Linked DNA regions of Canis lupus familiaris. The protein of the gene in region 2 interacts with the protein of the main gene of each other region in a pairwise test. Links are inferred from orthologs where the notes say so. Each region holds a gene or a part of one and is shown on either strand. Other genes may lie near its edges. The genes, in order: CAV1 and KCNA3.

Evidence for each region.
Region 1: the proteins of KCNA3 (region 2) and CAV1 come close enough for resonance energy transfer, tested with the Homo sapiens proteins (2 studies listed by BioGRID). The link is inferred for Canis lupus familiaris from reciprocal best matches to the Homo sapiens genes KCNA3 and CAV1.

The regions. Positions count from the first base shown.
Region 1 is NC_049235.1:55,588,805-55,593,399, reverse strand, and holds the start of CAV1 (caveolin-1), read right to left. Parts: upstream 2,873-4,595; coding exon 2,843-2,872; intron 1,586-2,842; coding exon 1,421-1,585; intron 1-1,420. UniProt on the Homo sapiens protein: May act as a scaffolding protein within caveolar membranes. Forms a stable heterooligomeric complex with CAV2 that targets to lipid rafts and drives caveolae formation. Mediates the recruitment of CAVIN proteins (CAVIN1/2/3/4) to the caveolae.
Region 2 is NC_049227.1:41,799,984-41,804,387, reverse strand, and holds the start of KCNA3 (potassium voltage-gated channel subfamily A member 3), read right to left. Parts: upstream 2,994-4,404; coding exon 1,431-2,993; 3' UTR 1-1,430.

The DNA.
Region 1 (4,595 bases), on a different chromosome or scaffold from region 2:
CCAGCCCTTTCTGAAATCTGCCTCTTTTCCTGGCATCTCTTCTTCTTGTCCAAAGCTACATGAGAAGGAGAAAAAGCAAAAATGTCTTTCCCTCTCTTTAAGGTGACGCTTTTAGTAAATCGTTTTTAGCAATTCTAATTTCAAGTTTATAAGCTACTTTTTTTTTTTATTGCTGCTGCTTTTAAATATTTCATAATCTGGCTAGTAGAAAAACCTACTAATGCTCCAATTTTCCTTTTTCCTCTACCAGCAAGCCAAGAGAGTCAATTCTGACAGTTACATTTTCCTTCCCGTTACAGGTTAAATTGTTTCCCTTTTTGAAATAAATTATTCATAAATGTGCATAGTCTCTGAACTATGGCTCTTCCCAGCCCCAGATAGGAGACTGGGTAGGTGGAAATTGCTCATCTGCCCCATTGGCTGTTCTGGAGTTGTGCAGAACTGGGTCTTCACGCTATAATCTTCCAGGCCAGGATTTTCCTTGGCCCTCCCCACTCCTCAAAGAAAACCCTCTGCCAAGAATGGCTCAAGCCCATGATTTCCCAATCCAGATGGATTCGGACAATAAATTTCCCTGACTTAATTTGCTAAGAGGGTCAAAGTTGAATAATATAATGATAATCAAAAATTGATCACTGACTCAAATCTAAGTTTGGCCAATAGCTCATTCAGATGCCTTATTATTTTTTTTTAAAAAAATCACCAAACACATTCTGAAAATATAAAAAGGAACTCCAGCCTGAGTGTCTCATTAACTCGGGGAAGCCTGACCCAGGCAGTCACTAAAGAAGTGACTTTATATACCTAGCTAGGGGTGTCTATGGGAGAAATCCAGAGGCGCTCATTATTTTTGGTTGTGGAAATTAGCTTGGTCGTGCACGAGTACCACTTTTTCCCCCTCCAGTTAAGATGCTCTCTCTCCATATATGTGATATATAATATATCAATCTGAAGCATTTTTACCCACCTTATTATAGTTAAGAAAATAACTTGAGGTTACCCTGATTTGAGCTGGGACAACCTGCCCACTCGGTATCCCATAGATCATCGAGCCACAAAGAACTTACACAGTGACCTTACTTGCTTTAATTCTAGGTGCAATAGGGCGCCCCCCTTCGCTAGAGTTTAAGCCTGGGAACAGGCAAGAGGGTGCCCCGCAGGGCCAAGCGCCTCACTCGCCCAAGGAGCGCGGGCCAACCTGTCGCGGAGATCTGGAGGTGTGTTGGCCGGGGAGAAGTGGGGTTCTAGGAGGAGGGCAGTCAGCGAGATTCCAGCCGAACTAGCCGGCGGGGTGATGGGGGAGGGCAAGGTGGGGGGACTGCGGGGCCCCGCGTCCTCAAGCGCAGGAGGCAGCGCGCGCGGGCCCAGGTAGCGGAGGATGCTCGGAGCGCCCCGGGGCGGGCGGGGCCGCCTCCCCTACCTTGACCACGTCGTCGTTGAGATGCTTGGGGTCGCGGTTGACCAGGTCGATTTCCTTGGTGTGCGCGTCGTACACCTGCTTCTCGCTCATCTCCTCCGCCATGGCCTTGTTGTTGGGCTTGTAGATGTTGCCCTGCTCCCGGATGGGAACGGTGTAGAGGTGCCCCTGCGCGGGGTGGGGGGGGGACGGCGGGGTGCGGGAGGGGGGGGCGGAGATGGGAAGAAAATGTCAAAAAAGGCAATGCCAGAAAAAGGAAATGTCAAAAAGGAAATGTCAAAAAGGAAAACGAGCGGTGCGGCGGCCCTGGAGGTCGCCCGCCAACTGGCCGCTCGGGCGCCGCCGGCGCTTAAGAGGATGGAGGCGAGGACACCACACCCCTCGGTGCCCGCGGGGAGCCCCGGCCTCCGCCGCCCGCCGCCAGGGGTCAGCGCGCACCCGCGCCGCCCCCGCCCGCGCCCGCCCCGCGCGCCCCCCAGCGACCGCGGGGACCCGTCCCCGGCTGCGGGGCGCCCCTCCCCCACCCTGCTCTCCAGAAGCTCTCCGGCGTCTCCCTCGGGCCCGCTGGAGCCCCCGGGACCCCCCGGAGGGGCCCCCTTTCTGCCCCTTTCTGCCGCACCTCCCCGACACCTGCTGGCTCGCCGCACTCTCCGCGCCCCCCGCCCCCGCGGGGCTCAGCGTCCCGAAAGCGCCCGTGTCGGGAGCAGCGCCCCCCGCCCCCCTGCAGACCGCCCCGAACCGCGACCTCGCACCTGCCCGGCGCCCCCGACCTCCCCGACCTCCCGCAGGTCCCTCCTAGGCCGCCGGCGGGGCGCGGGGCGGAGGGCGAGTTTGGGGAGCGAGATCCCCGCGCGGACGAGGGGTGGCACTGGGAGGGGAGGGCGGGCAGGGACAGGAGGGGAGGGGAGGGGAGGGCAGGTCCCCCCTCTGCAAACACCCCGCCGGGCGCCGCGATGCTGGAAGGGTTCTTGAGGCGGCCCGAGGGCTTCGGGCGGTGCCAGCCGGTCCAGGCGCCTGGCGGAGCGGCGGGGACGGTCCCCCGGATCGCGGGGGGATGGCGGCGCACCCCGCGTCCCCGATCGCAGCCCCCCAGCGCGCAGGGGCTGGGCCGTGCGGGTCCCGACCTAAAGCAGCGCCCCGGGCCCGCCCACGACCCAGGAGCGTGCTCTGGTCCCCATCTCGGGACCCCGGGGCGCCCCCCGCCCCCACTTTCAGCCTCCCTCTGGTTTAGGGCCCGCCGGCCCCCCTTTCCGAAGAGCAGCCTGGACGACATTCCTGCCCCCTCTTCAGCTCCCCGCCCAGGCCCATTCCTCGGAGGTGCCCGCGCCGGGGGAGCGCCCGGCGGCCGACCGCGGGGGGTGGGGTGGGGGTGGGGTGGGGGTGGGGGCGCCCCGGGGGCTCCCCGCGCGCACCCCGCGAGCCTACCTCGGAGTCTACGTATTTGCCCCCAGACATGCTGGCCGGTGGCTGGGTGAAGGCTCCGAGGTTTCCCTGGGCTGTTATTCAAGGGAACCGAGGAAGGAAGATCTTGTATTGTGCAGGGGGGGGGGGGGGGGGGGCGGGGAGGCGCAGGCGGGGGGCGGCGGCTGGGAGGGAGCCTGCTGGCCGCGGGCCCGGGGCTTGCCGCGAGCGCCCGGCCGGGACCTGCGCGCCGGGTCCGGGCACATCCCCGGGGTTCGGCGGCGCGGGGCGGGGAGCGCGCGGGGAGCGCCCCGCGGGGGTGGCCTAGACCTGGGGCGCACGTCCCCGGGGGGCTCGCGGCGGCGTCCTGCGGGGGCGCGGGGTTGGCGCGGGGCGTCGCGCTCCTCCCCGCGCTCCTCCCCGCGCATCTGCCCGCGGAGAAGCCGCCTCCCCGCCCCCATCCCCGCCCGCCCAGCTCTCCCCCACTGTCACCGGGAGGAAAGGGACGAAAAAGGGCGCAGGACTTTTGGGCACGATGCGCCCCCGACGGCGAGCAAGCACACGTGCGCGCGCGGTGCAGGTGGCGACGCGCCGGCTCACACCTGGCGGCCCCGGACAGGACACACAGACACGCGGAACTCCAGTTTCCCCGCCGCTTCTGAAAGCCCCCCCTGCCCTGCCCCCCAACCCTCTGAAGCAAACGAGAATGGCAGGCTTCGCCCATCTTTCTGGAACTTTCTGGAAACTTATGCCCACACGTTGTGCCACATTTCCAAAAGACGTAAAAATATTTACAGTTGTAGGAATATTTAGTGGGAGCTTCAAGTTTGTCATAGAGGACTTTTTCTTTGCACTTTTTCTAATTTTTTTTTCTATTTTTTTTTTTTTTCTAATGCACTTGCCCGTGCGTTAGAGGAGACCCGGTTCTTCTAGGAACCGATCTGAAGTTTAACAAATCGTTAGCAGTTATTTGCAAATGTTTTCTCTATTCCTGAATGTGCGGCTGCTATCTTTTTATAAAGCGTACGCCTAAGGTGAATGGAACAATAAGCAGTAGTTTTACATCTGGGCTATGGAGAAGTCAAGAAGTTCACTGTCTTTTGGCCTGTGGCTCCATATGCAATCAGAAGGAGAACTAGAGGGGCGGCCCGGGTGGCTCAGCGGTTTAGCGCCGCCTTCAGCCCAGGGCCTGACCCTGGAGACCCAGGATCAAGCCCTGCATCAGGCTCCCTGCATGGAGCCTGCTTCTCCCTCTGCCTGTGCCTCTGCTTTTCTCTCTCTCTGTGTCTCTCATTAATAAATAAGTAAAATCTTTTTTTAAAAAAATAAAAAGTAATAATTAAAAAAGTAAAATTAGAAAAATGATTTTAAAAATTTAAAAAAAGTAAAATCAGGACTTGAAATAGAAAATCTGACAATCTATCTGAAGGGGCACAGGTTACAGGAAACATTTTGGTGGTCTGTCCATAAAGGCGGAGGCACAAAAGGAGGAGGAGAACGGGTAATAGAGGATGGGACCCTTGGAATTGATTATCTAGTTAGAATATATGGAACTGTAAAAGAACTATAAAGGACAGGCTATTGTTGGTGGTAAAAAGCAATACAACCTTTAAATTCTTTTTTTTAAAATTTATTTATTTATGATAGACATAGAGAGAGAGAGAGAGAGAGAGAGGCAGAGACACAGGCAGAGGGAGAAGCAGGCTCCATGCAGGGAGCCCGATGTGGGACTCGATCCAGAGGTTCCAGGACCAGACCCTGGACTGAAGGCTGCGCT
Region 2 (4,404 bases):
TTGTGGGATCTGGATTTTTTTTTTTTTTAAAGAGGAAGTCTGAAGGTCCCTTGTAGTAAGGTTTCAGGTACACTGATTGACTCTTTCATCTGCTTATGTACAGAACACTTTTACATTTGCTTTTAAATTTCACTTGTTAGCTTGAAACTTCTTGGAGGAAGAAAACAGTATCCTTTTAAATTATTGCCTAATTATTGGCATTTAATTCAAATCATGCCTTATTGTAGTATAGATCTAACATCCCAAAGGCAATATTTTCCTTTCCGATTCAGTCATTATGAGATGATGTCAATGATTTTCTGTAGTAAAAAAAATATGCATTTTGTGATTCATTTCACCACCTCAGATTTTCAGGCATAACTTTATTTGTGCGGTTTATCCAAATAGTGGTTTTCCTTATGAAATCCCGTAAGGAGGAACCATCTGGAAAGGTTATTGTGGAAACGGCAGGGGCTAGGGGGTGGGGCTAGAAAGCAAGAGATGCCATGACAACCTTTTTCGGGTTTCCCAGGAAACATGGGTTGCTATGGGAACTGCATCAGTCAGGTCCGAATTAGTAACTTCCGCTGGAAGGAGTGTCTGCCACTTTAATCTTCTTGTGATACTGCAGAAGCTTATCTCGCAGGCGCATTAGAAATTTTGTTTCTCTCAGCGGCACTGAAAACATGTGTTTCCACACTTTGATAGATGTTGCCGGGAACACACACACACACACACACACACACACACACGGAACATCACAGGAATCTGCCTGTCCATCTCTTTTGAAATGCTGAACAAGCCCCAGAGAGTTCAACTAATTAGATCGGGACACCTTGGGCACTTCCCTTTGTTCACAGTTGTAGAAATCTTTAAGATTCCAGGAAGGGGTTCGAATAGAACTTCCAGTCAAAAACCAAATACCCTTACGGTGGGTTTACAAGTCATTGCCCTAATCAGACTTCTCATCCAAGTATCCACAGCATAGGCAACTGAACTAAAGATTCAATAATGTTCAAAGGTCCAGCAAACGGAAGCATCCTTTATGCATGTGCCTGCTTTACTTAGTAAAGAACAACTGTCTTTCAATTCCGAGGTTAGGCAGTTACTCTAACTGTTCTTTAGTTTCGTTTCCTCCCAGGATGTACAGTTTTTTTTTTTTTTTTTTAGAGGATGTGTACTAGAAATCAAGTTTAAAGTAAGTTTGTTCTTTGCAATATTCGAGGGAGGGGGAGGAAAAAATGGAGAGCTGAGAGAATGCAGCCCACTTGCAACACAGACACCTGTTTCAGTATGAAGCAGTAGGGCGAGGGAAAATGAAGTGTGCTTTCCACTTCTTCATGTCCTTTCTTTGATGAGTGGTCTGGAAATGTATAAAACGAGGGCATACACAGACCAAGGGGGCACGGTCCACGCAGTACTTGAGCACAGCATGTCACTCGTAGCATATATTAAACGTCAGTAAATATCTTTTTGATGTTGACACAGGAGTTGGGATTATTGTTCGTGGTGCAGGTGGCAGTGGAATTGCCCGTTTTGAAGGGAGTCTGGGGGAAAGCGCTATGGTTCATGCCCCCCTCTTCGATCACCATGTAGTCCGACTTACTCAGAGTCGAGTTACTCCTTGCTTTTCGGAGCTCCTCGGCCGAAGAGGAGAGGTGCTGGCAACTTCCCACGTGCATGTACTGGGCTTGCTCTTCCCCCTCCGTCTCCCGGTGGTAGAAGTAATTGAAGTTGGAAACGATCACGGGCACCGGCAGAGCGATGGTCAGGACACCAGCGATGGCGCAGAGCGACCCCACGATCTTGCCCCCTATGGTCACCGGGTGCATGTCGCCGTAACCTACTGTCGTCATGGTCACCACTGCCCACCAGAAGGCATCCGGGATGCTGCTAAACCCCGAGGTGGGGTCGTCTGCCTCGGCAAAGTAGACGGCGCTGGAGAAGAGGATGACCCCAATGAAGAGGAAGAAGATGAGCAGCCCCAGCTCCCGCATGGACGCCTTGAGTGTCTGGCCCAGGATCTGCAGCCCCTTGGAGTGCCGGGAGAGCTTGAAGATGCGGAAGACCCGCACCAGCCGGATGACCCGCAGGATGGCCAGGGACATGGCCTGCTGTCCGTTGCCCTGTCGCTCGGCCAGTTCGGTGCCCAGGGTGATGAAGTAGGGGATGATGGCCACGATGTCTATCAGGTTCATGATGTTCCGCGAGAAGGTGGCTTTGCTGGGGCAGGCGAAGAAGCGCACGAGCAGCTCGAAGGAGAACCAGATGATGCACAGGGTCTCCACCACGAAGAAGGGGTCCGCGAAGCCGGCGGCGGCGGGGGGGCCCGACGTGCCGTTGCGCGCCGCCTCGGGCTGCTCCTGCGCCGCCGCCGCGTAGTCCTTGTCGTCGCGGAACTCAGGCAGCGTCTCCAGGCAGAAGATGACGATGGACACGAGGATGACGAGCACCGACACGATAGCGATGCCGCGCGCCGGCCCGGAGCTCTCGGGGTACTCGAAGAGCAGCCACACCTGGCGCTGCAGGGCGCGGCGCGGCAGGGGCCGCTCCTCCTCGCGCAGGAAGCCCTCGTCCTCGCGGAACTTCTCCATGGCCTCCTCGCCCAGCTGGTAGAAGCGGATCTCCTCGGAGAAGACGTCGATGGGCACGTTCACCGGCCGGCGGATGCGGCCGCCCGACTGGTAGTAGTAGAGGATGGCGTCGAAGCTGGGCCGGTTGCGGTCGAAGAAGTACTCGTTGCGGAGCGGGTCGAAGTACCGCACGCGCCGCCCGGGGTCGCCCAGCAGCGTCTCGGGGAACTGGCCCAGGGTCTTGAGCTGCGTCTCGAAGCGCAGCCCCGAGATGTTGATGACCACGCGCTCCCCGCAGCAGCCCTGCTCCCCGGCGGCCGGCGGCGCGGGCGGCAGCGGCTCGTAGCGCTCCCGCTCCCGCTCCCAGCCGCCCGGGGCCGGGCCCCCCGCGCCGTCGGCCGCCTCGGGCTCCGGCAGGTGCTCGCCGGGCACCACCGTCATGGCGCGCTCGGCGGGGCCGCCGCTCGCGGGGCGCTGCGCAGGGAGGGCGCGCGGGCGGCCGGGGCCGGGGAGCTCGTCCATGCGGCGGGACCGGCGGCGCCGCGGGCCGGGCGGCTCCTCCTCGCGCGCCCCCCCCGCGCGCCGCCGCCCCGCCCCGCGAGCCCCGCGCCTGTTGCCGCCGCGCCGCCCCGCCTGGCTCCGGGGGGCCCGCGAGGTGCGCCTGGCTCCCGAAGGGGACGGCAGTGCCGCCCCTCTCCGCCGACCTCCCTCCCGACTCTCCATGCCCTCCCCCTCCCCTCCCCTCCTCCCGCCCCCTCCCTCCCCCCTCCCCCCCCTCCCTCCCCCCTCCCCCCCCCTCCCTCCCCTCCCCTTCCCCTCCCCATCTCCGCGCCCTGCCCCTCCCCTCACTCCCCTCCCGGGGCCGCTGCGCCCGCCTAAGCCCCGCGGCCCCTCGCGGCCCCTCCAGGTGCCCGCCCACCGCGCGGCCGCGCGCCCCGCTCCCCCGCGCCCCCTTCGCTGCCCGGGCCCTAGCCGCCCGCCGCCTCGCCCCTCCGGCGGCCCCACGGCCCCGCTGCGCACCGCCGCGTCCTCCGCGAACCCCCGCCCGGCCGAGGCTGCTTCCGGGGAACCGGCCCCCGGGCCCCACCAGCCCCTGGCCAGCCCCCCGCCCCGGGACCCGCGAAGCCACGGCCCAGCGCCGGGCTTGTGTCCCCGCCACCGTCGCCCCGCACCCAGCGAGCGGCGGCCTCCTCGCCCTGCAGGCACCCCCGGGGCGCGGCCGGGGCGCGGGTGTCAGCGGGTCGGGGCGGGCGAGGAGGGGATGGGGATGCGCTGCGGGCCGGGAGGGAGGGCGGGAAAGGCCAGGTGGGCGCCCTGGGGCGGAGGCCAGCCCCCTGCCCGCACCCTGAGACCCCCGCGGCTACAGGCCGCCGCCCGGAGCGCTCTAAGCGGAGTGGCTCCCGTGTCCCCGAGAAGCCCACGGACTCAGGGGCGCTCAGGAGTCTCGCACCTGGGGGCTGGGGACGCTGGGTCAGTAGAGGCCCTCGGGACTTCGCTCCTGGAGCGAACAGTTCTCGCGGACTCTAGCCGTCGGGAGCAATCGAGGGCCAAGTTTCTGGCTGGGGTTGGCGACAGCAGCCGGGTCTTTTCCCAAGCGCCAGGTTTCCTGTCGGTGGGAACCTATGAGGAAAATGAGAGGGGATATTCACCTCCCCCGCGAAGTCCGTCCTGGGAGGACCCCCGACTTCAGGGCCTGCTGCCGGCCTAGAGGTAGGGTTGGCCGCGCTCTGGCTGTGAAGCTGGGAGACCGTCCAGCCAGCAGCCCGCATCTCCGTTGCTGGATTTGGGCCTACAGATAACAACTTCATGCCCTTTCAACCTTAACTGTTTCTTCAAACTGTTGTGGTCATCT